4 linked regions of the Mytilus edulis genome follow. The protein of the gene in region 2 purifies or fractionates together with the protein of the main gene of each other region. This does not show direct contact. Links are inferred from orthologs where the notes say so. Each region holds a gene or a part of one and is shown on either strand. Other genes may lie near its edges.

Region 1 (7,086 bases), on a different chromosome or scaffold from region 2:
AAGTTGGGAAAAGAATAGTTAGCTAACAATTTATATCAAAAACCAAGAATCTTCAATTTGCTTACTTAAGCTTGTTTCAATTTTAAAAAGAGGCCTGCCAGATAATAAATCCATTTTTTCCACCAAATTTTTTTTTACAAGCCAATTTTACAAATGCGTCATTTAGGAATAGACTGTATCATACATGTGTATGTAAATTTCCATTGTAATTCTACCACAAAATAAGTTTCACAAAATTTATGATTTATAAGATTTACGATTTTTAATAAGAAGAAACTTAAAATTTGACAAAGATGTAATAAGCACACCTACATATTGTGCACCCCAAACATGCAAAATCTCATTAGCAAATCCTACCTGTATAGTTGAGCCATAATAAAAAAAGGCAATACCAAATGTAAAATTGTTTTGAGCTATGAAGTCCTTAGCATATATATAATTGAGAGAACCAATGATATAGCCTTCCCCAATCAAAATACAAAATTATACTTTTTTTAATATACTATATAAACCAAATAAAAGACCCTCGTATGTTGATCAATATAAATCCAAATCTGATAGATCAACATTATGTAAATTAAGGTTTAGTGCTCATACTTTATCTATTGAAAGCGGGCGATATCTAAAAATACCAAAGCAGAGTAGAGTATATGTCTTTCCTGCAACAGTGGAGACATTGGAGATGAACTACACTTCCTTTTAAAATGTTCATTCTATAACTAACAACGTGAGAGATAATAAATTAACCTCATTAAAAAAAAAGTCTATTGAACAACATATTACCTTCTTTATCATATAACTTGTTAAAATGAATGCTAGTTGGTGACAAACTCATTATTAAAAGGTACTTGATTTCTGTAATGATTTATATGCTTCTCTTTTATATAATTTTCCCATAATTATCCACTGTCACTTCTTCGTTGTATATATGTTATTGTAGTGGTATCCAGTCGTTCCGTCCCCAAACCCATTCAGCCTCAGGTAAATTCGGCCCCAAGTCAATCCACCCCCAAGTCAATCCGGCCCACGTCGACCCGGCTCAAGTCGATCCGGCCCAATAATAATTTATAAGGAATAAACTATAAAGACTTTTAATTAGTATAAATCGAATTTGTAAAAAGTATCAATAATGGATGACAACAGGTAAGTTTGAATATATTTGGAGTACCAGAAAGATGAAATATTTTAAGTCGATACGAAAATGGTTGTGATTGTATTTTTTTTTCAGGTAACATCAGAGGCTTCTATAACACTTGTCTAAGAACTTCACACAAAAAAAAATTTGTATGTATCAGCTTGGGGATCGGCTTGTACCGTTGTGTATGTAACTATTTGTTATTACACAGGATGAAAGACTTGTTAAATTAAGATCACATCAATTGAAAGAAATTGATAATTTAAAACTGCTGATTAATGTTGATGTCTGTTGATTGTCCTAAATTTTGTTATATTTTTTTTTAATATAATTATACCCAATAATCTAAAAAACTTGTAGTGAAACATTTTTTTTTAACATACACCTTTTACATTATAATAAATTCATTAACTTTACGAGTTACAATTAATATCTTTATTTTTATTCCTTATAAATATATTTTTTATTGGGCCTGACGTTGGGCCATATCGATGTGGGGACTGATCGACTTGAAAGCATTGTAGTTTGTCTTTAATTTGTTGTCATAACCATTTATTGTCAATGCCTAAGTCATTGTAAACTTGTACTAAAAAAGTTATCTTATCTTATCTTATAATGATTTTCAAAAATATACTTTCTTTTACATTCTTCACTCAAGTTTTTCAATTACACATGACTAAACACTCTGCCCTTTTCATATGATAATAATTTTCCCGTTTTAGTGTAAACTAGTACGGTACAGTAGTCTCAGATGATCATGATAGATCTAAATTTAATTTGTAAAGGTTTGTTTTTTCTGTTATGAATATCAAAAGTAAGGTGTATTATTATCATCTTTTTTGTGTAGGTTTGGGGTAAGTGTTAATTACCTGTATTAGCTTGTATCTATGATATAAATATGTCTCTGTCTCCTAATTTTGACATGCTGTCTGAACTTCGTCTGTCTATTAACAATTATATACCTCCTTATTGAAGAGTTTAGTAAATATCGCCCGTTTTTGTCAGTTACATTCTTTTCGGTAATCTACTGAATTTTATCTCTGACGTATGACATGAGATCCCAAGTATCTAACGGAGGCCGAACGTAACTTCCGGCCACGTTAAGCACTTCCTGTCGGCGACCAGAATTTCATTTGCTGGAAGATTCAAAGGTTTGTTAAACACCTACTATTAACAAGTATCAAATAATATATCTTTACGTTGAATTTGTAATTTAGAACTTCCACGTATACTGGACACAAAAGTGAAGGAACATTTTGATCACATTCTCAATATGTTTTCTTTCCAACATTTGTTATCTGTTTAGTGGAAGTTGTCACAATGCTCACATTAATCTGTACCGATACAGGCTCCAAATGTCCTCCTTTATACGCCATAACTATGGTGGTGCTCCTATTTAAAGGAGGCTCATACGGAGACAAGAAGACAAGTTATCTTGATAGGATTCAAAAACTTCAGCTTTATTGGTTTATGTTGATATCCATTAATTGCTGATTAATTCTAACATAAACCTACAATTACAGTTTTGAATTTGGTACAATATCCTGCTTATAATTTGTTCGTTATGTCCTTTCAATCAGAAACACTAATAGTATTATAGTCCAACATAATAAATTTACCAGTGAAAGGGGAAGAATTCTGTGTACATTATTTTTTAATAGTCAAATACTTATAATTTAAAATCTGTTAAAAAAAGAAACTAAAATACTGAAACGTTTCCGATGTTGGTCCTGTTGTTAGGGATTTTAAAAATTGTGACATCATTTTTAATGAAAACAAAGAAACGCTATCCTGATGATGTTACGTTTTTTCGTATCTAAGACAAAGAATGATCAAAAACAACAATTTTACAGAACAAGTCTCATGACATACAAGACCAGAAGAAAGAAAGAGATGTCTGTGCAAATGGGAAAAAATAAGTCTGAAAAATAAAAAGTTAATGATTTTGAGTTCATTACTTAGCTGACATGGAAGAATGAAAACCTTTGATTAATTTTTCTTTTTAATTGATTTTTCTACCGTCATCAGGCCCTCAATACTTAGTTTAGTTCTTGTTTTAGTAGTTAAAGCTGGGAGCAGGTATCAGTTGTGTTATTGACTATTTATCAATAGATTTTCCTTTACATTGAATTGATCCCATGCTAGAAGCCAGAGAAAACTTACACATGTGATCGCTAGGAAGTCATATTTAATAATAAATGAGAGGCGTAGATATCATACAAGGAACAATGAGGAAAGAACCTATCAATAATCATACATGTACAAATGATGTACATGACACATTGAGTAAGGTCTACTAAGGGAGGTAATACAAGTCAATACATGTAACAATAAATCAATAAAATAATCTGTTGCATGTATTGAATTAATGATATTTATTTCAATTGACAATAGGCTGTTCGCCAATTCCCGTAATTGACCCTGTTATAAGAGACCTTTATTTTTTTGGTCTCCCTTTATGAGGGACATTAATTTTTATTTACAATGGAGAGCTCACAGTAAGAGCAAATTTACCTGTGCGTAATGTGAGTAATCTGTAAGGTTTTTAAATCTTTTAATTACATTAATTTGTTGTTTAGCTAAATACTTTTGACATCAGCAATTATTTTTCATGAAAATTTAGTTTAACCGCCGATACATCCCTTCCAATTCATCATGCTTTGCATTGGCAAAAGCCAATTTTGTCTGGTATGGAACCAGTCTACGATTGACAAAGGGAAGTCATGGAAGTAGTTTGTTTAAAAAGTGTGTAATAATAGAATCAAATTGGTAATTGGCAAATGGACTATTATGCTGCTACAATTAAAAAGTTGAAATTTTGTTATGGGGCAGAAGAAAAACCATGCAGGACATCCAGTTGCATTTATATTAAATATAAATGTTTTGCACTCTTAGTCTTACACATTGTAAAACTAATAGATTGTGTCAATGTACTCATGAGTCATGTTAAATGCATATTAATCACTTTATCACTGTTTATATTGTATTTACACAATTTTATATTTGAAAAAACTTATTATAAGATACAAACATATCAGGATGACGGTAAGAACAAGTTATTGTGTTTGTTTTGCATGAACAGTTTGTTACTTTTCAATATCAAATAGAAACAATATCTTATCAGAAAGTTAAAGTTTTGAAGAAGTGTAAAATGTATGACAATGTAAAGTTTTACAAATGAGGATAGTACAAGGCATCTGTTCATGCAAAATTATACCTTACACACAAGGTGATTCATTAAGCACTCCTTGCTAGATTTTTTTTATTAGAGAAAAAGGGGGGGAAGGGGTAATGTACTTGTAAATTAGATGATTCATAATTATTTTTTGTCCTGATTTTTTAATGATCTACCTTTACAATGACTTCAGCTCATTAAAACAGAAGTGTTGCTCAAAATCATATTTCACCAAATACTGACTAAGTCACTATCATATCATGAATTATATATATACAAGATATATACATGAGAAAGTCACAAGAATGATAATTGAATCACCATGTGTGTCAACAGGTACTTTAATGGTTGTAGGAAATTAGATTTTTCAGTTAAACATAAACATATAATAATACATGTATATATTGGCCTAGAGTACCAGGTAAATTATGCCTCTTTAAGTTATTGTGCAATGTATTTTTTTTTTAACTTTCCCATATATCATGTATATTGCTATTGATTACTTTATTGTACAAGTAGTTATGGACATATTTTAAAGCCAGTTATATTTTGTAAAAGTACACAAGCGTTCAGTCATTATCTTCCCTAAAATAGTATTTCTAGATCATTGGTTGCAGTACTTGTTTAGTATTTTTTGTTGAACCTTCAAGCTTTGTGATGTGGTGACTGCTTACAAGCAACTAATTGCACTTTTTTTTTTTACCATTCCAAAATGGCAACAACAACAAAAAAACAGATTTAAAACATAGGATTTTGTTAATCTATAGAAATATTGTTCAATTATTATATAAAAGATTTGGTCTTCTGTCTTCATCTTTACTGGTTCCAAATTAACTTCCAATACCATAAAAAAAATCCTGAGATACTTGTTAAAACACTGATCATATAATACACACATGTAAATGGGGAAAAAATCTCTTGTATGAACTTATTCTAGAGCTGTTATCTAAAGATTTTAAATTTTATAGATACATGTACACCTACAAATGTAAAATGCCCATTTGACTTTATTTTCAGAATAAAAAGATGTCTACCTTGGCTGAGCAGCCATGTTATACTCTGATAAATATACCATCAGATGCAGAGCCTCCAACAGAGATGGGACTCAAATCAGATCTAGGTATGGCAATATATATATTGATATAAAACACCAGTGAAATGCAATGTGGATGTTTTACCTGTTCTCAATCTAGAAAGTCAATTTTTTTTATGTAATGTTTTTTGCAACCAAATATACAAGCATGGAACTTTTTTTCTGAATCTACACAATTGTTAATTCTACATACATGTACATGCTTCATATGTACATGTATACAAACAATATAAACAACAAGAAATGGTTTGCCAGCATTGTTCATTAAGGCTGAATACATGTACATGTATCTTGCAGTCTATCTTAAATGACACACAACAAACTACATGAGGACGTAAAAACTTTTAAACAAAAGATGTACATGTATTGGAGTGATTCACATTCAGCAAACTTTTGATATCATGGTTTAATTAATTTTTGATGGCTACATGTAGCTTATCATTTGCTGGTTATTATATGCTCTCCAAATCATTCATGTTTCATGTTTTAGTTTTAATTTATTGATCACAGTATATACAGTTGTATTTAAAGGCATGAAAAGAAACTGATTGAAATTAAATTGTAAAATTTCACTTTTCAAAAGTTGTAGTACATTGTACAATATATATTGAATGATATTTTTTTTTTTATTAGAAAAGGGAGATACAAAAACAAAGATTGAAGCTCTGAAGAAGACGATACAGATGATACTGAATGGAGAGAAGATGCCATCATTATTGATGACTATTATTAGATTTGTCATGCCTGTGAGAGACCATACCATCAAGAAAATGCTGTTAATTTTCTGGGAAATTGTTCCAAAATATAACCCTGATGGCAAAATGTTACACGAGTTTATTCTTGTTTGTGATGCATACAGAAAGGTATGTTTTTTTCTAGGGCTTTAACTTAAAGTGTTCTTCCTAATATAGTGTCATGGTACCAAGGAGCAATAAAGCCTTGGAGAGATCATTTGCATCTGCATTGATGGGAAATGTTAAATTGAAAATAAATTAGATATTTAGCAACAACACTATTTCTTTCTACAAAGATGCAAGTAAGATCTACATGTAAATTATAAATCACTGTACATATATTATTGTTTGTATCTTATTGAGAATTTCACTGAATAATGTATCTATTTTTTTGAGTAAGGATGGTACAATTAAACACGCATGTTTTTGGAATTATTCATTCTTCAAAATGAAACTAAAAGTATAGGTTTATACCTATGTAACGATATATCAAATATAATTCCAATTGCTTCTTTTTCAGGATCTTCAACATCCAAATGAATTTATAAGAGGATCAACATTGAGATTTTTATGTAAACTGAAGGAAGCCGAATTATTGGAACCACTGATGCCAGCAATCAGACAGTGTTTAGAACACAGGCACTCTTATGTCAGGAGAAATGCTGTTTTAGCTATTTATACTATCTATAGGTTTGTACATTCAAAATTTAAAGCGTTAAAAATTGTGTGGAAAGTTAATTAAAATAACTCTGGTCAGACTGATTTTATTTCCAATTACAAGTTGAAAGGAATTTTTTAAAGTTTAATGGTTTTGTCTTACCAATAGATTATTATTTCCCCTCAGCTACAGGCATAATGTTTTACCCTTGTCTCTGTATGTATGTCCGCCTGTCTGCATGTCCCAAAGTTCGTTTCCATTCTTTAACTTTGGTTTGTCTCAACCAAATGA
Region 2 (8,013 bases):
TTTGGTAAGCTCGTAATTTTCGACAATTACTCTGTAACTTTGTCACAGCGCGCTTTGTTTGTTATTTATTTGTTATGTGTTTTCTTATATTATGCTATTGATGCTTTCTCTTGTAATGCTGTCCTCATCATGCTCATGAAAGTTACCCCTTTGTTTGTTAATGTTATTGTCTGGGTATAGAAGAAGAGTCTTTTTTCTCCATTGTAAATTCATATAATCCTCATACATGTCATATTATCTGTGTATAAAACCCAAGAAGAAATCTTTTTCCATGATGGGTCTATACCAGACTGCCTATGTGAAGATTTCTTAGCACTAACAGGTGCAGAACATGTATTTTTTTTATCTAGGACCAACAATAAAGGTCATTGTCAGCTTCTGTGTTTGGTTTTGCAACCCACTGTAGCAGTATACTGTTAACTTTACGACGTTTGACAGGAATTGACATTTTTTAGCATAATGATTTCTCATTTTTCTGACCTGAACGTTTTATAATATTCAAATGGCTTCATCCAAGCTGAACATCGAGAAAGTGAATTTCTCAAGTGTAGTATCAGTTTAGTGTTTGTTTCTAATCATATTCCTTTCAATTGTTTTCAAATGGTAAAATTCATTACTGTAGAAGTGCTTACTAAACGATTATTAGTTCGAATAGGTGATAATTTATACTTCAAAGACTTGCTCATTTTCGGGGTATGTATGGATAGTAAACCTGGCAAAAATTTGTAACAAACCCCTGTGTTTGATCGTTTTTAAAATCATGGTTTGTTCAAATTTCGTAAAAACAAGTTTGTAAGTGTCGTCAGGAAATGCGGTCAATTTATTTCATCTCATTTCATTCATATATGCCTCTATATATTCTTTTAATAAAAAAAATATATGTCAATGTTGAAATCTCTGTTTATTTTGATCTTTCAAAATTGCCATTTTGTAAAATTTATTAGACTGGTTCCGCGGAGTTACTTAATACAACAGAAATAATTCATTCAGAAATAGTAAACCAGACGATCACGTGATCTGAAGTGAAAAATAAGCGGGAAATTTGAAAAAATTACGAATAAATTATAGCGACGCGCTTGCGTTGGATAGCGGGATTAATGGATTTACCTTAACAAAAAAAAAACCAATCAGGCATTCTGTGTTCCATTTATGATGCAATTGTTGATACTGCAAAGGTCTACTTTAATAAGCAGTTTGTATTGTTATAAGAATATATTATCAGTTTGAATCAGCTTAGGTTTTACTGTTTTATAGTTTTCTATAATCATGATAATAAGCAATTATATCTTGTAATAAAATTATTATTCATTAGGCCAAAAAAAATATATGTCTGTTTACGGTTACCCGACCAACCTTTATTTCAGCGCCAACTCTGAGCCATTTTATTTCCGTTGTAAAGTGAAAAATTAATAGAACTTGTGTCAAAAGCAAAGTAAGGGTTGCCAATAAATTTAATCAATTGCCTGATACATCCCAATGTTCACAATTTTGAATATGACAGCTGTTTTAATGAAACTCGCAACTCATGAAATGAAAAAAAAAAACATCACTGCCATTTTTTTTCAACCAATAACCAAGGGAAATAATCCAATCATTAAAAATACGGGTAAACTCGGGCCATGGACAACTCGGACGACGGCAAGACACACTGCGCAACTTAAAATCATGGCAAATAATAAAATGAAAATGCTGACCTTCCTACCCTATTTATTTTAATGATGTAAGTACTAACCTTAAACAGATATGTTTTATCATGATTATGAGTGTCATAATGATATGATGATTCATGAGGTAGGGGAATTGGGATTGGAATACATCTTATCGCAAATTAAGTAAAATCCGGAAAAAAGTCATTTATAAAACTTCCTGTTTGGGTCAGGCCGCTGAAAATAGAGGTCATCAGTAGTGAGCTGAGGGAGGAAAAACTTTAGAAAGCGATCATCAAGAAACTTTGATAAAGTATGATCCACTTTTTCGAAATTAAAATTGAAGTAAAAAATATTTTGTTTGAAGTATTTATGGTAGTTAAAACAGGTTTCATTAAAAAGTATCATGCATGGTGAATTGTTTAAACAGGGTCCCAGATAGCATCAACCCGATGAAAAAGTTGTGTAATTTTAGAACTGATCCAGAATGGAATAAATAGCAATCAGGTGTATGCTCCGCTTTATTAGTAGTCCAAGATTACTCTGACGTCCAACGGCTGCTTTGCCAGACAAGCTGGGGCTGTGAAAAATGAACAAATTGATACATGATTTATATAATTTCTAGGCCGATTGTCGGCACCAGAAGTGACGAAGCAGCGCATCTATTTTGGACGGGCAAATATCCACTTTTTGGATATGGGACAAGCTCTGACATCTCACAGCCCCAGCTTGTCTGGCAAAACAGCCATATGTCAGAGTAATCTCGGACTACTGTATTAGTAGATACATGTCAGCCGTTGGTGGTTGAGCTAGGGATGTACAGTATGTTCGTCTTAAGCTTAGTCGGTAAAAATGCTGATTAGTAACACGGAGGTCCTGGTTTCAAGCCACTGATGAGACAAGCATTTTAGTAATGAAAATCATGCTCTCTTGTTATCATGGTTAGAACCCACAAAATTTATGCAACTCCTCAGTCAGATTGAGGAATGACAGTCATTTGTTTTACCAAAATAAGAATGGTTGGTTGGACAGGGATTTGGTTGGAAGTAAGGAATAAAGCTATGAACTCAGAACCTAAACATGATCTTTTTATGCAATGTGTATCCTACGAGGCTACGTTGCCTGTTGAAACGAACAAAAAATATGGTGAAAATGGGGATTGCTATGGCAGATAATGCCAGTAACCATTCTTTTTCCACAAATACGATTGGAGTGATGAAAGTACCTTTAGTTTAGGTGCCTCATTTATACATAGCTGATAATTTCCAGTATAAAATGCAGTTCTTATTTCGAAAAGTTCATCAACATCGGTGTTTGACATGTTTGCAACGATGATGTGGAAGTCGGAAATGAGAATATCTTGGTCTTTCCAGCGCTTTTTAAATAATTTAACTAATAACCAAATATTAATCTAGTTATACACTAAACTACAACGTTCTTAATTTCTCGTCCGGCTTTTATCGTATTATGAAATTGTGTGACTGTCATGTTATAATACTTATTTTTGCATGGAGCTTCTAGAATATGTTACTTTTTTCAAGCTGAAGTATATATAAGTTTAAGAAATTGAGACAAAATATCTGTTGATACGGTTGACGATCATAACAATTAATCAGAAGTTGAGAACTGGGAACAGTATGTTCTTGTGTATTTTAGTCTAGATGCCAACTTATTAACTATCGAGATGACCTAAAAGACTTTCACATAATCCGATATAAACATAAAGGTAAATATAAATAGATAGCGACCTTGTGCAAATGGATTTCTTCTAGGTCTGTTTGATTTCACGTATCATCACGATATGTAAAAAATAAGTTAATTATCGTTTTTATCTTTTATGAGACAGATTATTTGCTAATCGAATCAGTCAACGAAGTGAACATCTTTGTTTAACTTTTAATGTTGACATTCTTTCTATTTTAATGGCAAAACACGATTTATACTACTTTCGTTACCAATCTCGTTCTACATGTAATTGGATAAATTGGATGGCATGCACATCAATACAGAGTCAGTGAGGTCTAATTATTGACTTGCAAGTGAATAATTCACCATTTTGTGTGCGTGTGTTTATTTTGACAAATTTGAACCAAATTGGCTACTAAAAACGAGTTATTATTTCATCATTTCAGTTCACTTTCATTAAAGTGATTGAACCAAACAAAATCCTATTCTATTTCCCCCCCCCCATAACTTTTAGCTACAGTGGAGTGCGGGACCCCTCCCCCTTCCACAGTAGTGCCATATGATTAGTTTAAAGACAATAACAATCAAAACCAAGGAGTAAACAAAGACTCACAAAACCAAATGACATTTACATCAACAGTTATAAATAATGATTAAGAAACAACACGAACTCCACTAAAAACAGGGAGTGAAATCATGTGCTCCGGAAGGGTTACAGCAATTCCTGCACCGTATACGGCACCCGTCGTGTTATTTCTTTGTTCAGTTCGGTAATGATGGAAGGTTATTATGACTGAGGAAGAATATCAGATATGATTTCTGACACACTTTTGTCATAATGGCCTATCAGCTCATGATGGCGACCATAAAATTTCTTGAGTGATGACCTTAATTTGATTGATTCATAGCCCTGTCTTCACTGAGTATTCCTCGTTCAACAAAATCAACGTACTTTGAGCTATCTCTAGAGTAACGTATCAATTGAGACACATATACTCCATATGCTGGTGCCGCTGGGATGTTGCTACAAAGAAATGGAAACGACAGTATAGGAAAATTAAAATTTGATAAAATAAATAAATAAACAAATTGTCAATATGACAGAAACTAAAAGTAAGTTTATTTAGTTTTAGTCTAGACTAATTTGGCTGTTTAAAGTGATCCAAAATAATAATATTAAAAAGGGAAAGTCAAGTCACTCTGAGATTTATGTCTTATGTCTTATGTCTTATTTAAAACACAAAATCTGGTATTCCATTTGAATTTTCAACATATATTTTTTTTTTATTTTTTTAAATACTGAATGTAAACTCACACTTGATTTCAGTTATTCGTCAATAATGATTTTTATTCTTGGAATATCCGGAATATATAGAGTACTTTCTGACAGACTCTGGAAATAATTACACCGTGTTGCAAATATCGATGTCATTTTTATGTCAACTACGGTAAACAGGCCGTAAATACCGCACTGTTCCGGCATTGATTTATGTTTAGTCAACATTGTTTATTTCCGAAAATATCAAGTTGCGAAAACAAGACGATTTCACCACTGATTCACCAGAGAACCATGTCGCTTTACTGAAAAGCATCCATATTCTAGAAAAAAAAGTCAACATAAAATTTAAAATGAAATATGCCAAGATGAAAAATGCAAAAGATCAATGCCTGAATGTATGAACTTAGTAGTATATAATTTTTCTATGCTGCTACATGTATTGTAATATGAGGCAGGCATTACCTGTAAATGGGGACGAAGTCTGTATGAATTATTTTTTTGTAACTTAAATATTTGTTAAAAAAAAAAGAAACGGAAAACCGTAACGTTTCCGATTTTGGTTCTGTTGTTAGGGATTTTAGTTGTGACGTTATTTAAATTATGACGTCATATGCAATGTAAACAAAGAAATGCTATCATCGGGTAACGTTTTTTCATATCAAGGAATTATTAAAAATGAAATTGGTATTGCGCGTTCCTTCCTATTTTATACTGATAAATATATATTTTACTCAAAGTTTCATACAAACGAGACCGGAAAAAGGAAGTACATTGTACATTTCTGCGCATGTCCGGGATTTCAAAACATGACATAAAAAAAATTGAACGATTTTGAGTTCATTAGTACAATGAAAAATTCAGGAAATTTTCCAAAATTTTTTTTTTATTGAATTTTCTACTGTTAAACTCATTTTGGTAAATAGTGTCTTATAAATATGCATTCCAGGTTAGTTTAGTTTAATTTAGTTTAAGGTTCCACTAAAGTCAAAATATAGGACACTTCATCAACATCTAAACTTTGTCTGTAGTTTTCAACCTATAATGAATAAAGTGAAAAAATATGGGAACAAACGTTCATTTAAACATACTTAACATATACACACTGTGAAAATTGTAAATAAACTTAAAATTTTATGTTGTGGCCAAACTAGTTTTCAGTCCCTGAAATTTTCATCCGGAACGGGAATCGAACCAGGAACCTTTGTGTTAGTAGTCTGATGCACTACACCACGGCTCTTATATCGCTGTCGAGCTTGGCTATAATATTTATTTACTCTACATACATGTATGAATGGCCTATTTATACTTTTAATTTGGCTAACAGCAATTAAGCAATTAACTAAAATAACACAAAAAGACACTTTAACATCACTACTAAAAGGGCAATTCACTTATTAAGTAGATGAAGTAGGATGCAACATGTACAAAATGTATGCTAAAAGGAAAATATGTCCCTTTTTTTCTTAAAATCACCTATTTTAATCTTTAGAAATTGAAGGTTTGAGTGTAGAAATTTATTTATTTCTTCCATGCATACACCAATTTTGACATAGGAAATAAAAGTCTGTCATTATAAATCTTGCTGAATTTATTTAGGTGATTCCAAGTTGTAAACCTTGAGCTATCTTCCTGTTAAAAGGGGAAAATGAGTCAACCTAAACCAATGAAGTTACCGACTGCAAGGATGCCCCCAGTGAAGGCCATGCTTGAGAAAGGTATCCCAGGGTTGACATCACTTGATTCTATTATAGCAGACCTGGATCAACAGTTAGAGGCAAAGAATAAACAGTAAGCCAATAAAACTCTGACATGCTTGTAATTTATTTTAGTGGAAAATTAACACACAACTCTTTTCTTACAGCAATTTGTTATGGGGTTGGTGGGTATAAAACAAAGAGGCAGTAACCAAAATAATATAAAAAATAAAACTAAAAGAACCATTTTTTCTTTTACAAACTATTTGGTATGCCATTAACAAAAAAGTTGTTTTGACTGATATGTTTATTAACCTGCTGAATAACATTGAAATGAAGTTAAAAGTATGCGCACCTTGTTAAAAGAAATCTTTCTGATTACAGAGACTAATCTATGAAACTGGTATAAGAAATTATAAATAAATAAATTTTTTTTGTGATTTTATTTCATAAAATTTAAATCTGTTGATTATGTGCTGTCAGACAAGTTGTAATGTAATTTTTCAGGCCTTTACAATTTTTTTTTCAAAGTGAAATTAATATCTATCAAGCACACAATTTTAGCAATATTGTGTATTTAAGGATAATTTTCTATTTATCGCTATCCTGAAATAATTTATTCCTATACATTGCTAAACACAGTATAGCTATGAAAAGCATAATTTTTCAATTTAAAATTTTCACATCATACCTGCAGGCAGGATTGACAAATCTGAAACAAATGGGAGACAACTCAAATTTCATGAAAAGATGGGAGTGTTTTGAGAATGACAACTTGCATATGATAGCATATATATAACAGCTGATACTAAATTACTGTTTGAAACTATAGATAGAATCTGAAAAATTCTGCTACATTTCAATATGAAGTTAAGGAAATTTATAAAAAAAAAAGTAAAAATAAATTTAATTCAAATTTTTTTATTTTTGTCATTACATGTAAATATATCATTTATATCATAGTTTTAATTAAGTTAATGTCCATCATTTCAAACTAAAATCAATGAATGTATTTTATTTTATAAACAGAATGGCAGATTGCCTGAAAGGTATCGTGAAGACATGTAATGAAATGCCAGGCAACAAACAGTCAGACAACCCTAAAGATTGTATTACCTACATGTTAGATTCACACTTACTGGAGAAAGATTCTTGTTATGATCCTGAGGCAGATGATATCAATACTATCTTAAGTCATGTGGTATGTATGCTATAGATGTTTTCGGGGGTGTGCAACACATAACCAAATGTTTTTTTTTTGTGAAAAAAGGATACAACACTTTTGCTGTCCAATTAAAATATAGATCCTATGCAATACAGTGAAAACACTGAGTTTTACGTCCTGTTCTAATGTCTTGTATACATCTGAAGTAAATAAAAAGAAAAAAGAAAATAACTAAAAAGTGCAAAATGTTTTTATATTTTCAACTTTTACATATATCTATTATTTTAAATCTATGGCATACATGTACCTATGATATACTTATAGATTGATTTTCTCGCTTGAGCCGGGACGGCAAAAGCGAGAAATGCAATCGAGTTTAGATGACCAAAGATAATCTGTTTATCGCTATTTTACCTATGACGACGTTGTCAATTTCGTTAGCAACGCCACATGCCTCCTTAGTTTTTAGCGATAATTTTCCATCTCAAGCAAGTAGCATGATATGAAAAATTATCACAAAAAAAGATCAAATGAAAAATGCAC
Region 3 (7,123 bases), on a different chromosome or scaffold from region 2:
AAACAAATAAACACATATACAAAAAAATATTTTAGTGTCGAAATTTTAGTGAGGCAATTGCCTCACTTGCCTCAATGGTAGTTACGGCCTTGTGATGTACTGAAAATTCCACATCTCGAGTGAGAATCGAACTCGGGACCTTCAGTACTGTAGCCATCGGTCTTAACCACTAGACTTTTAAATTTTATTTAAGTTTCAATGTAGATTATTATACCTTACATTATAAACAATTATGTGATTGACTAATACAGAACCATGAGTCATAGTTTAATTTTGATGTTTATCCAAAAATTGACAGAAACGATGAATAACCCCAACAATTTGAAACCTTTTCTTGCAATAAAGAATAATGGTCCGAGACCACAATTGTCGTCCCTTGATTTTCGTTGTTCACAAATATAGTCCCTAGTGTTGACAGTGGGTTACTTGCCATTAATTTTTATCATGTTTATACCCCTTCCAAATTTATTTCTCCATGTTTTAATGCCTCATATTGCAAGTAGGGGGGTGAAATTACACTGTAAACAACATGAACAAATTTGGGTCCAGAATTTTAAAGGAAAGTAGTGATTTGGTCCAGGTGAAAAAGGTTGAAAAATAGCACTTCGGAAGCTGTCAAAAGATCATTTCAAGACGCCCTAAAGATAAAATTGTCCATATTTTGAGTTAGAGGCGATGAAGTTTTCTATAATTTTGATATAATTTGTCCCAAAAGTAGTACAACACACTGTAAAAGTTTCTTTGAGAAAGCGCAGGTGGGATTTTTTAAATTTTCATTTATGTTGTAAAAGAAATGCACTACGAAATAATTGTGGTCTCGGACCTAATGGATACTCATATAACATGTTTTTTTTTATCTACCCACAACTATTCAAAATATTGTCAACTTGCAGAAAAATATATATTGCCAGATATATTCCACAGTACAAAAAAAAACAAAAAAAAACCCAAGTGTTATAGAAGCCTCTGATGTTAAATGAAAAAAAAAAATACAATTAATTATTATTATATACACCAAACAAAAGATCAAACTATAAAGACCTTGTTGATTACGTAACTTTAATTAATCAGGATTTGATTGAATTAAGTGATTACGAGTGGCATCACCTTAGTTCACAATCATCAGACAGTTGTTGAATAAACAAACCAGTTATAGACCCATCGAAACAACATCTGATAAACAAATTTAATAATACTTTTAGATATTTGGATGATATTTTGGCTCTCAATAATGACGACTTCAGTATGTATATTAATGAAATTTATCCTGTTGAACTTACTTTAAATAAAGCTAATACTAACAATGACCACAGCCCTTTTCTCGATCTTCATGATCTTGATATCTATATCACTAATGGAAAGCTGAATACTAAAATTTATGATAAAAGGGATGATTTTTCATTTCCTATCGTTAATTATCCGTTTTTAGATGGTGACGTTCCCTTGTCACCATCTTACGGTGTTTTTATATCTCAACTTGTACGATTCGCTCGTGTATGTAACAATGTTTTAGATTTTAATGAGAGAAATTTATGTATTACTGAAAAATTATTACACCAGGGTTTTCGATATCACAAACTAGTCAAAACATTTACTAAATTTTATCATCGGTATAAAGACATCATTCGTAAATATAGCTCAACATGCAGACTTCTAATACGTTCAGGTATTTCACATCCAATTTTTTATGGTAATATTCTTTATAAAGCACAAAGGTGTCAGTATTCACCTCAGAAACTTACAAAACCTTTGAATAGACTTATTAAGAAGGGATATAATTACGATACTGTTGTCAAGTCATTAAAGATTGCATATGTTGGCGTTAATATTGAGTCACTGATAAGGTCTTTGCATCGGAACTAAACACATTTATTCTAAAAACAGTTGTTGGCATGACACGGGTTATGTTCTTCTCATATATGTTATGATGGTATGATACTAAACCCCTAACGGGAAGGATTGTGCCTGATGTTCATATGATGAAATCATAATCTTTCAGTCAGTTTAATTAAAGTCTGGAGCTGGCATGTCAGTTAACTGCTAGTAGTCTGTTGTTATTTATGTATTATTGTCATTTTGTTTATTGTCTTTGGTTACATCTTCTGACATCAGACTCGGACTTCTCTTGAACTGAATTTTAATGTGCGTATTGTTATACGTTTACTTTTCTACATTGGTTAGAGGTATAGGGGAAGGGTTGAGATCTCACAAACATGTTTAACCCCGCCGCATTTTTGCGCCTGTCCCAAGTCAGGAGCCTCTGGCCTTTGTTAGTCTTGTATTATTTTAATTTTAGTTTCTTGTGTACAATTTGGAAATTAGTATGGCGTTCATTATCACTAGACTAGTATATTTGTTTAGGGGCCAGCTGAAGGACACCTCCGGGTGCAGGAATTTCTCGCTACATTGAAGACCTGTTGGTGACCCTCTGCTGTTGTTTTTTATTTGGTCGGGTTGTTGTCTCTTTGACACATTCCCCATTTCCATTCTCAATTTTATAGACTAATGATTTGAAGTCATTATGATGTGAAATTTTAAAGGTTCCATTGGACTGTAAATATTTATTTAGCTATTCTGTGTGTGATCTAAATAAAATAAAAATCAAATTCCATTTAAAAATTTATACTATTAAAATTTGTCACAAATTCCTCCAAAAACAATATAGTTTATTCATATTTTATTAAGGGGCCGGATCGACATGGGACCGGATCGACGTGGGCCGGATCGACTTGGGGCCGAATCGGTTTGGGACCGGAACGACCGGATACCTCTGAATGACAGTCATGACGGTTTGATGCCGACTTGACTTGTCTGAAGATCATGACTTATTGACTGTATTTTCGAAAAGCAATTTTCCCGGTTTTTATGAGCTCTATGATATTTTACAATTAATGCATAGGTTGACATTCGTTTTCTTTAACGACTAACAAATACATACAGAGTTAATGAATCGTGGACAGACATTGTCACTGGTGTGATCGCCGATCGCCTGACGTGACAGTTATGTGTTATCTCCCCTTGGTTTAAAAGCTAAATTAATGAAAAATAATTAATCCTTGTTTCAGCAAATTTTCGAAATAAAATTTCTAGTTGTGTATGATTCAAGGATAAGTGTTATTAGCAGTAATTTAATACTTGCTTTTTCGTTACCTCACTTGACTAAATTTATCAAAAAAGTTATATATTTTCGATAAAAAAACGTCTCCGGTGCTGCAATACATAATTTGTATATGACATCATAATTTTAGATTAAGTTCCGGCAAGACCCTCTTTTATAAATATAGAACATAGTGACATACATCTTAGTATAGACATACACAATGTTCTGGTATTTGGCTTTTTGTTCCCTTCCATTTGTTCTTGGATCTTATAGTTCCAAGTGTAAGTTTTCAAAATAGTAACACATTTCTAAAGTTTGTAGTAAACATTGAGTAAAAAATATGTGTAAGGGGGTCTTATTTGGGGGGAGGGGGGGGGGGGGGGGTGTTCTTATCCCCCCTCTAAATATAATCTTTAGAGTTAGCTAGGATATACATATATGGGCTATTTCAAAAAAAATGATGCCTTTCCTTTAAACCTTTGTCAGTCTCTTGTATGATACTATATCTGTAATGTTTTTAGGTCAGATAATGTATTATGATTAGTTGGTCCTAACTACCAAAGATAATAGCAGTATGTGCTCTGTTTAAAAAATATTGTCCAAAATTGTACCTCAAAATGTCAGGAGTGTAACGCTTTTAGTGTGACATTTAGAAGAAAGCATGTGCATTCATTGATGATATAGAATAAATAAGGGCAGATACAATACCAAACAATATCTTTCATCCAACTATTATATCTTTACTATGATTTCTTGTTTAATTCTTCCATATATTTACATTTTTATGTGCCTCATAAGGTAAGTCAAATAAGTTTGTGTTTAAAAAAAAATGTTAGTAAAAGTCAATATGCTGCCAGAAAATGTCTTTGTAGGTGAAATAACATGTTTCTGTACATCTTGCACGGTTTATTCTTTTAGGTAAGTATCATAGCTTGGCACAGGTGCATCCAGTTGACCCTGAAGTTCTACTACTGGAATATTATGGTTACAATAAGAGGACTACCCAGGTCTGTCAGGAGTGTAACAACTGGGTTAAGATGTATTTTTTTTAGAAACAATGTTGTTATAGTTGTTGTTTTTTCTTGTTTTTCAGTGAACATTACCTGTTACAGTTTATCAGTAACAAACATGCCATTATTATGACCTTCATTGCTTTTGTATGCTCAATACTTCAATGTCAGGAGTGTAACACAAAAAAATGCCTTATTTCAATCTTATTAGCAAAGGTAAGTTATTGGAAGAAAAACAAGCTGACAATTATTATAAAATGACATTACTACACCTCAGCTTAACACAGAATACAAGTCTACATCATTACTTTTGAAATTTTTGAACTAAAATTGCAATTGAACTAGCTTGTTTAAGTGTGTTACAGTCCTGACATACAAGTATTGAGCATAAACAAGCAATAAAGGCCATAATAATGGCATGTTTGTTACTGAAAATATGCAACAGATGGTGTTCACACTCAAATTCCAGAAAGGAAAACCAATAATAACAACATTGTTTCTATAAAAAATAACATGAATGTTACACTTAAACATTTTAAAGCGTTACACTCCTGACATTTTTGGGTACATTTTTGGACAATTTTTAATATACAGAGCACATACTGCTACCATCTTTGGAAGAACGAACAAACTTATCATAATACATTATCTGACATAAAAACAGCATATATATAGTATCAAACAAGAGACTGAACAAGGTTTAAAGGAAAGCCATCTTTTTTTTTAAATAGACAATTAGCAAAATTTGTAAATATGTAAGAAGTATATAATTTTCTTTAACCTGTTCTTAATTTGCACTAAAATAATATGTGAAATATAAAGACTCTACATGATTTCAGGTCAGTTTCAGGTTAAAATATGGTAGAAATAAATTATGGTCAGGAGTGTAACATTTGTTACACTCCTGACAAGTTTCTGATGTAGCTTATCTATAACAAAATTCAACATGATTCTTTATTAAAATAATTGTAACATCTTTACAATGTTATGAGAAAGCTGATCTGTCTTGTAAAAGTGATTTTTCTGCACACTATTCACCAAAGATTCTTAAAAATTAAAGTGTAATTCTCATTAAACATGTTAAAAGTTTGCTCTTTGCTCAGAAATTAAAAAAATATGTAATCAAATATCTAATAAATTTATTTATTTGTGAGATTGTAAATTTAAAATAGATATCATTACTGATTTTCTAAACATTCCATTAAAAAACAGTCTTACAGTTACTGAAAAAATATGTCAGGAGTGTAACAAAAGGATAACAAACACATGTTTGTATTTTTTAAATGAAGAAAACTTAGAATTGACTGAAGCAATTGTTGTGAAATTTTCAGAGGATGTAATTAGATCATATATGTTTGCTTCCTTATACTTTTTATATAAAATTAAAGCTTTTGCAAAGAGATATAAAAACTTTTGAAATAAGATATTAAAGAATACACTAAAAATTGGTGAAATTTACATATTTAAAAAAAAAAAACTGTTTATAAGTAAAAAAAAATTGCAGGAAAATCATTTAGAACCTTTATTGCAACAAACAAAAAAATTACATTGATATTTAGATTCTTATTTATGTTTGTCAGTTGATATTATTATTATGTTGTTTCCTTTGAAAAGTGGATGAATTCTTATGAGTAAAATGTTGTTAAAATTTTTGTTTTTATTATTTTGCATTAACCCTTGGTAGTTTTGTAAACTTGAATGTCTCTGGATTAAAGAAAAATGATAGAAAAAAGATTAGCAATGACTTAATTTTTTACCATGTTTGTCACACTTTGGCATCATTTTTTTTGAAATAGCCCATATATGTAACAGCCAAAAAATATGATAACCTTTCAAGATGTCATATTAATTTGGACGAGCAAATAACATAAAATTGAGAATGGAAATGGGGAATGTGCCAAAGAGACAACAACCCGACCATAGAGGGTACTTATAAAGTGAGAAACGGAATCGAAACGAAACGAAACGAAATATAACGAAACGAAACGAATTACAACGAAACGCAACGAAATACAACGAAACAAAACGAAATATAACGAAACGAAACGAAATGAAAAAATGAAGAAACGAAATACAACGAAATGAATCTGACCCTTATGTTATGCAATTGTGTGGTGCTGTTGATGTAGTTATCATTGTTACAACCACGCTAAAACAGTATGTAAGATGAAAAGAAAAACTCCTTTGATCTCTTAATTGAGGATTGTAAATTAATTTATTGTTTATTGAAAGACTGCATACTTTTCTACAACCCCGTGTGGACGTGCTACCCGTTCTGACGTACAATATAACACTTTGATGTTCCAAAAATACTTTTTAAAGGCATTGTCTTTCATCCTGTCGGCTCCCTTTATCATGCCTGAGTTTATATATGGGTAAGTTGTGAGCGTGAGAAAAAAAATCAAAGGTCTTTGAAGTTTTCTAAAACGCATTCAGCACCAGATGTTGCACGGGCTCCAGCCAGGTATATATAAAAGGAATATTTTTTATTCAACCGTTATTACGCAAAATGGAGCCCAATGAGAAGGAAAAGAAAATGTAAGTACCCTTATACATGTACATTTTAAAATTTATTTCGACAGTGTTAGTAGTTAAGGAAACAGAACTTAAAAACATTTTGATGTTGAGTCATTGCAATTTTTAGTAGCTAACCAGCTGATATCTGATATCTTTATAGACCATAATGGCAAAATATTTCAATACATGTTTACCCCGCCACAGTATGCATGTATGTGTATATGTATGTGCCTGTCCCAAGTCAGGAGCCTGTAATTCAGTGGTTGCCGTTTGTTGCTGTGTTACATATTTGTTTTTTTTTTTCGTTAATTTTTTGTACATTAATTAGGCCGTTAGTTTTCTCGTTTGAATGGTTTTACATTTGTCATTTCGGGGCATTTTATAGCTGACTACGCGGTACGGGCTTTGCTCATTGTTGAAGACCGTCCAATATAGGAACGAACTATATTATAAAAAGCCGTTGAAAAAAATCTTTTGGCCTTTATATCAGAAACGG
Region 4 (7,808 bases), on a different chromosome or scaffold from region 2:
TGAGCAAGATTTACATTTTCTCTATAACCTAGAGCTACGATTTCATCAAAAGCAAAGATAAGAGAAAATGCCTGATCTCCAATCTCAGCCTCCTCCATATTTCTGCAGTATTCTGGTATCTGAAGAAAATAAAAAAATAAAAATAGATATTTGTTATGCATTTAGTTAACTTTTTAACGCATGTCAAGTTGTTAACAAATATTCAATTCTGCTATTTATCTAGATCTTTGCAATGCCATCAAAAATGCTCCTTAAAATAATAAGGTGTAATCCAAGCAAATCTATCACATGAAAAGTATTATCCCCCCCCCCCCCCCACACACAACATCTTTTTGTGTGAGTGATACTTATTGAAAGAAGTTTTTTTCTTTATTAAGTTACTTGCCCTGCCAAACGACACTTTATTAAGATATTCTAGTATGTTGATAGCTATTTATAGAACATAAAGTTTTCTAATTTACCACATGTTCAAACAGACAAATGTTCCAAGATCTTCAGGAACATGTATGTTGTTAGCGATTGTTGTTATTGATAGATCATAAAGTTTTTTTCAAACTTACCACACGTGCAAACAGACGTAATGTTTCCAGATCTTCTAGTATGTTGCTAGCTTTTGTTGTTATCAATAGAACATAAAGTTTTTCTAGAGGCTGATACACATATCTCACACTTTCTGTTTCAACAAAAGTATGTTGTTTTCCTGAACTCATCAACTTAGGAAAAGCTGCAAGCAAGCCTTCTATTCTTGACCTCGTCATTTCCACAAATTGACGGGAAATTAACGCTGAAAAAGTCTTATAAGTATTAATTTCATTCTTCATTTTGTAATTACATCAGGGTGTACAGCACATTATTTATCAAAGAGACGAAGCATTAAATTCTTACATGTATTACAATAACGATGTCAGGCTACAATCTTGAAAATTCATTTAAATTATGTAATTGTATGAAACTTGTATGAGATGTAATAATATATATTATATAAATGTAGTTAATCAATTAATTTAATAATTAAAATGATAGCACTTACCTTTTACCTTTTTTTTTATAATTTAAATGATAGTAAAATTCAATAAAAACAAGTATTAAATTTCTCAGTTTAAAAGTTTGGTTGGTAATTGGGAGGGCAGTTCGTGTCAGTGTTCCTCCTGCAGATCTCAATGAGCTGTAGATCAGTTTATTTATTTATCATGTATACTCTGGCTTTTAAATTATTTGGCATAATTTTTTTATTTGTGTTCTTAATGCTTGAATTACTTTTAGTGCTTTATAATTGCTATTGCATGAATGTTAGTTTATCTGCATTTTATGTTTGCTTATATGCTTTAATTGTGCTAATTAATTGTTGTGCTTGATAACATTATTTATTTTGCATGTTTTATGTGTTTTATGTATTGTGCTTGTCTTATATGTATGTCGGATAAAAGCTCTACAGAGCTTATGTTGTATTGTTATATGTATAACCGACTTTAAATAAATCTTTTATGCTTTATGCTTTATCTCAATTCTCTTGTAAAATATACAGATATAAACATTTTGGTGTCTTAATTAATTAAGAATTATAAAAAATAAACCAACCTTTTCCAGACTTGTTACATACAGCTGCAGCAAGCAGCACCTAGATAAAAGAAAGAAAAATATAGTTGATTGTCCAATAAATTCATGGGTATTCTTACATTCTTAAGGTTTATGAACCCTTCTGTGTCCTGAGAATTACGAAATTTTCAAACTGCAATAGTTTCAATAGTATCAAAACAGCAAAGATAATTATTAATAGAGATATGCAATTTGTACATATACCAAGGGGAAACTTGTGCAAAGCCTTATCATTTTAAGTTTAGTTGCATTTAGTAGAAAAAGAGGATTTGGTGAAAATAAAACCAAGATTTTTGTAGAAAATCCACAGACTTCAATACAGAGATTAATGTAATAAAATTTTGACCATAGATTACTCACTTGTTTTTCTATGATGTCCTAAACAACCTTTAAATTCCAAAACACCTTGTGTTGAGTCACTAAAGTCAAGTGCACCGTAGAAGGTGTACTTGATATGGTGGATATCTATATTTGTTTTAACCAATATCTAACCTATAAACTTGTTTTAAGGAAATTCTTGATAGCACTGCATGCAATAATTCTCTATCTATCAACCATAGAATTACCAAACATGAGAGTACAAAGGGAAAGGCTGTGCGTTTTCTATAAAATTTCCATATGTGTGGCATTAAATCAACACAAGGGTACATAATCCTTAAGCCTAAGGAATGACACTAATGAATATGATTGGTACAGATCATACAAAATTGACAAAGGTATACAATAGTGGTGCATTCTTTTGTTTACTACTACTAGTTTTTATTCTTCCTTTATAGTTACATGTCCAACAGTACATGTATCTTATGACGTTATGTCCTTCATTGGCTTCAATTTTGAAAACTTTTTGATATCCCAGTATTTTTTACATGTTTTACGAATCTGTGCTCATTCCATATTGCTAGTGATAGAATCCAATTATAGATACATTACGTTATGCAATATGTTTACAGTATAATAAAGCAAAAATGAGGTTCGGTTTGTTGTTGTGGAGAAAAAATATGAAGGATGCCGGTAAGTGGTTTGGGTTTGATCAGGCTCTAGCGAGTAAAATATTCATTGTTGAGAGCAATAAGAATGTCTGACAATGTTATAGAAACTTAGTGAATGTCCTACCATGTTGAACGAAAGCTGTTTTGAATACTAGTGTTGACAAATATTGAAGTAATGAACGTATCTGCTGACGGTTTTTCGGCCACGTCAATTTCAAGTTGTAACCTTGCGCTTTATCCCAAAAATTGTAGTTTCTGAACAAATAATAATGGATAAGATTTTGCAATGAGTTCTATGTTTGAAATCTTACAACGTTAAATCTTAGTTTATAAAGCACAAAATTGTTATAAAATTAGGTGTTAAATAGAGGATTATATTTTTAAAAGAAAATCGCCGGATTCAGATGCGCAGGTATAGCCTAATACAACATAAAAATGTCTAGGAAATAATCAACAACAACGGACCAATGAGATGGAAGTAATACAACTCAACTCGCTCCACTTTTGCACCAACTCGCCCCACTTTCAAAATGAGGTTAAATCCCGTTAAATTTACTTCTGCTTACTCACTGCATTTATCAAAATGTGTAAAATCCATATAATAACATGATTAATGTCTGCCAACTCAGCCTCACTTTTATGAAAACTTATCTGTTGTATACCATATTTGTGTATCTATGTTCTTGTTTCTAGTGTTGACATTTTATCTAGTACTTCTTTTTGTGTAATCAAAGATTTGTATAGTAAGAACGATACAAATCATTGGTGTAATCATGACAGTGTTTGTCATAATTGATTTATTGTGCAAAACTTTCATCTGAGAAAAAAATGTGTAAAAATACATGATGATATTTTATCATGATGATTCTTGACTTGTAAATATGTAAAACAGTGATAATATGAGGGTTTGGATGGGGTTAAATGATTAAAGAATAATTCCCTTAAAAAATGAAGATTAGAGAATAACGGGCATAAAAAATGAAGATTAGAGAAAAAAGGGGTTAATTTTATGAAGATTAGAGAAAAAAGGGATTAATTTTTTAATGATTAGAGAAAAAAGGGGTGAAAATTAAAGGTTTACAGAATAACAGACCCCCCCTTTCCAGACCCTATATTTACCAGGAAAAAAATCATAAACAGTTCCTATAGTCAATAACATTGTACGTTCCAGAAATGCTGATACTTACTCATGTCTGCTCTCTTCCAACCTAAAGAGTTTAAGGTAGATAAGGTGTATCCTCCATCTTGGAATTTGAAATACCAGGAATCAAGGTCTAGATCTTTGATAAAATGTGCAAATTTTGAGAGTAGTAGGTAATTCATGTGTAAGAATGTTCATTATGATACAGAAAAATACCATGTTTTAATCATCTTTATGGTTGTATTTTACAAAAACACGAATACTTTTGTTTGATTCATTTTTTTCCCCAACTTTGCCAAATAAGGGAAGGCAACTCAAATGCAAGGGCAGATAATTCAAATAATGTTACTTTTACAATAGACTGTGTTAGGAATTTACCCATTTTAGTATGTAGCAAAAAAATGAGTCCGGTGACCGCCTGTTTTTTCTTTTTCTTATCTGAAAGCATAATATTGGAGCTATGTTCTCATATTTTATCTCAAAATTATATGGTGTAGTTTTGGTTTTATGGCGGAAAATTGGGTTTTCCATCATAATCTATACAAAATCTGCCAATTTTGCACAACCTGTAGTATGAAAATAAGTGCCGTGACCCATTATTTTTATGAAGGTTTTTAAACAAGCAGAATATAAACTACATTTTGGCAAATTATCAAAAAAAATCTATCTATAATACTAAAATTACGAGGTCCAATTTGTCAGCCTTCATCACGTAAAAACGACGAATCACAGAATTCAACTTTATATATAACTTATATTGTACAAAGGTGTAGATTAAAAATTACACCACTCCAGGCCCTTTTGTTTTCCACGTAATTAATATTGCCAATAATTAAGAAGTTCCGGGTCGAGTCCGCTACCGATATCAATAGTATATTCACCTGTTACCTATTACCTTATCTGTACGTTCCGCATTTGACAGGCGCACCACCAAACGTTGTATTCAGGATTAATATGCTATATACACGGGTCATAACCACAGGGTTGACACTACTAAATTGTCAAATTGTTACCTATTGTAGTATTTTAATCAGTAAGACTTTTTAAGATAACAATACGAATACTAAAAATCTGGACTAAAAATAAGGCGTATAGGTACAGTTTTCAATTTGTTAGTGGGCATGACGTAAAACAGCGAAGCAAAGAATTCAACCTTTATTTATAACTTATATAGGACAATGCTATTGATTAAAGAATACTTCATTCCAGGACCTTTTGTTTTCCAAATAATTAATATTATTGTTTCAGTTCGACGGGTTCAAACAGAAAGACTTGAAAGCAGAGAAAAACTGCATGTGTATCTTATAATCGGTATGACTTTATCAGATGACAATACTAATACTAAAATAAGGCTTGCACATAGTTATATACTTTAATTCAGTCACGGACCCGTGATATCACGGGTGTGTTCTAGTGGATTATAATTTAGACACTCCATCTACCTTACAATAACCGAGATGCATTTCTACATTATTCATAAATATTCATTTAATTCATAATTGGGGCAACTAGGTAGGCCTCAATTCTGTACAGTTTAATTGTTTTATTCGTACGGTGGGTCGAGTTGGCTTCATTAAAAGTGGTATGGGAGTCTAAATTAAAAATGATAGAATTTGTTCATACTTTGTCAAAACGTAGTGTCTATTGATATATGTTCAAAAATCATGCCAAGAAATTGCCTCCGTTGAAATTCTGCAAACACTCCATAGGGCAAATTACATGGATGATTAATATTGACCATTTGGTATATAGCTGTGTTCTAAGCAACACGTACATGAAGGTCATAAATTAATTTCTTCAATGAAATCAAATCTTTAGCTACTAATGACTGCCGTAGGGGGTCGACCGGAATTTTTAGCGAGGATTTCTTGGCATGGAGTAACAGATAGGTTAGAATTCATAGAACAGAAAAGGGGCAGTGGCAAATATTTCATGTATATTTTGAACACGGAGAGAATTTACCTGCACCTTTTGCCAAAAAAATCCTTTCTTTTTCTTATTTGTGCCTTCCGACTTTATGTTTTGAATTGTAGTTTCACTTTCCATATTCGGTATTTATTCAAATGTAAGCTCCACATGGTAAAAATCACGTGATGCAGAAATATTATATCTTGGAGTTAGACTATTTCTTTCTTTTCGGGCGGAGACTCCAAGCAAACAACATGCATGTGTATAACGGCACTGTAGATTTTCGTATTAAATAAAGAAAGTTGCCGGTCCGGTACATGAATAGATTGGTTAGAAAGCAAGGTTTTAATTTTAATTAGATTCGAAAGCTTAATTCGAGGGTTGAAAATACAGAGCACAAATAAAAGGGGGGGGGGGGGGGGGGGTCCACAGGGAATATTTGTATCTTATGAACTCTATATTTGAAAGGGTTATTTTTTTTATGTAATTAAAAAAGAGAAAAACAAATATATAACAAATTGTGATTGGTCTTTCTTCCTTTCTCCCGATAACAAAAATGATAGATCACCGCACATTTTCTCAAGCTACAGGTTATGACAAAATGACACCTTTTGTATGGATTATACAGAATAAATCATCATTATGTGATTTGAAGCTAAACTAAATGTTAGCATTGTGAAATAAAATTCGAGAAGATATCTTTTAGAAAATGCTTTTAGAATATCAAAAGAAAAGATAGGGTCACCGTGTGTTTTTTTCCCGGCTAGAATTCAAAATAGCAAAATTCCATGTAGATTCCATCCGAAAAAGCACTATTTCAGAGTTATCTCCCCTTAAAATGCCAATTTAAAAAAAAAAAAACTAATCAAACTGAATTCATTTATACTTGTAAAAATATTAAAATTTATAAGTTATAAGCTTATAAATTTGTTCTTTGAAATGCAAATTCATATTTGTTAACTGCATTCCTGCATCAAATTTTGCTAACTTGATTGAAAATCTAGACCTTAGATTCTCTGTTTTTTTACAATCCAAGATAGCGAAAGACACCCATACCACCTTAAATCAATGGAATACAACTCCTTTTCATAAGTGGGTCGAGTTGGCAACAGGATTGCATCATGTTTCATACGTGCAGGAACAGTCTATGCTAACTAAGTATAAACTGTCCCTGACAAGTGGGATGAGTTGGCATGACTATAAAATTCATCATGGTTTAAAAAAAAATTCCATAAGTGGGGCGAGTACTTTATTCAGCGGGATTTTAACCCTTTTCATAAGTGAGGCGAGTTTGTAGACCTATGATCAATGGGATTTACACTTTTTCATCAGAAAGGGCGAGTTGTCACCAAGAGTGGGGCGAGTTGGGGAAAGAGTGGGGCGATTTGATACGAGGCGATTGCCCAGTAGTGGGGCGAGTTGTCATCGATTCATTGAGACCGTTTGTTAGATAGTTTCAGTTCTATAACTTTGACAAGAATAGATCCTTATAAAATGGTATACATAATACTTATCAAATTCTATTTACACATATATGGATAATTTATTGTATAAAAAAAAATCAAAAAAAATCGATTATTCTATATTAAATCGGGGTCTTCTTGTGATCTATAGCAATATCTTTTTGTATGGTCATTACTCATATTTATTTTCGTATTTTTAAATTAAATTTTGTAAGAATGAAAAGCAATAACAATAAACTTAATTTAGAGATGAATTATGGAATGACTTTATAAATTATGTTCACTGAAAGACTTTTAACAAAATTTGATTCAGAAAAGAAGATCTAGAAATGTTCCGAAAAAACACCGGAAGTTAAATTGAAACATGAAAACAGCTGCAGACAAAGACATTTTTGAAGTTATTTTAAGAAAATATATACCTCTAATTGACACGGTTTTATAGGAAAACCTACTATCTCGTGTATCTTGAATTCTGTCCTCGATCTAGAATTTTCATCGCTTTTGAACGGTGGCAGTTTAACCTATACAATTGAGGTGAATTGGTCAATCCATTTGAGAATTCAAAAAAATAAATTAACTATATATTGTAAGACATAAATTCTCACAGATATCAGACATTCAAGTCACCGAAGTGACAAATCTAACTTAATCAAAAGAGATTCATGGTTTTTTATTTGAGCCATTTTTCTCATTAACCAATACACCTTATCG

Evidence for each region.
Region 1: the proteins of coatomer subunit epsilon-like (region 2) and coatomer subunit beta-like purify together in Homo sapiens (affinity purification with mass spectrometry; 6 studies listed by BioGRID and IntAct, with this or other methods). This does not show direct contact. The link is inferred for Mytilus edulis from reciprocal best matches to the Homo sapiens genes COPE and COPB1.
Region 3: the proteins of coatomer subunit epsilon-like (region 2) and phosphatidylinositol-3-phosphatase SAC1-like purify together in Homo sapiens (affinity purification with mass spectrometry; 4 studies listed by BioGRID and IntAct, with this or other methods). This does not show direct contact. The link is inferred for Mytilus edulis from reciprocal best matches to the Homo sapiens genes COPE and SACM1L.
Region 4: the proteins of coatomer subunit epsilon-like (region 2) and coatomer subunit delta-like purify together in Homo sapiens (affinity purification with mass spectrometry; 4 studies listed by BioGRID and IntAct, with this or other methods). This does not show direct contact. The link is inferred for Mytilus edulis from reciprocal best matches to the Homo sapiens genes COPE and ARCN1.

What each region holds. Positions count from the first base shown.
Region 1 is NC_092353.1:31,909,442-31,916,527, forward strand, and holds the start of coatomer subunit beta-like, read left to right. Parts: upstream 1-4,080; 5' UTR 4,081-4,174; coding exon 4,175-4,180; intron 4,181-5,278; exon of another isoform or gene 5,279-5,327; coding exon 5,328-5,430; intron 5,431-6,036; coding exon 6,037-6,266; intron 6,267-6,657; coding exon 6,658-6,827; intron 6,828-7,086. UniProt on the Homo sapiens protein: The coatomer is a cytosolic protein complex that binds to dilysine motifs and reversibly associates with Golgi non-clathrin-coated vesicles, which further mediate biosynthetic protein transport from the ER, via the Golgi up to the trans Golgi network.
Region 2 is NC_092347.1:37,415,326-37,423,338, forward strand, and holds the start of coatomer subunit epsilon-like, read right to left. Parts: upstream 3,022-8,013; 5' UTR 2,968-3,021; coding exon 2,872-2,967; intron 1-2,871. Other genes in the region: uncharacterized protein KIAA0825-like, read left to right, coding at 6,257-6,399, 7,335-7,506. UniProt on the Homo sapiens protein: The coatomer is a cytosolic protein complex that binds to dilysine motifs and reversibly associates with Golgi non-clathrin-coated vesicles, which further mediate biosynthetic protein transport from the ER, via the Golgi up to the trans Golgi network.
Region 3 is NC_092348.1:14,407,253-14,414,375, forward strand, and holds the start of phosphatidylinositol-3-phosphatase SAC1-like, read right to left. Parts: upstream 3,020-7,123; 5' UTR 2,965-3,019; coding exon 2,939-2,964; intron 1-2,938. Other genes in the region: uncharacterized protein, read left to right, coding at 3,321-3,381.
Region 4 is NC_092348.1:7,122,598-7,130,405, reverse strand, and holds the start of coatomer subunit delta-like, read right to left. Parts: upstream 3,002-7,808; 5' UTR 2,713-3,001; coding exon 2,710-2,712; intron 1,619-2,709; coding exon 1,579-1,618; intron 785-1,578; coding exon 561-784; intron 120-560; coding exon 1-119. UniProt on the Homo sapiens protein: Component of the coatomer, a cytosolic protein complex that binds to dilysine motifs and reversibly associates with Golgi non-clathrin-coated vesicles, which further mediate biosynthetic protein transport from the ER, via the Golgi up to the trans Golgi network.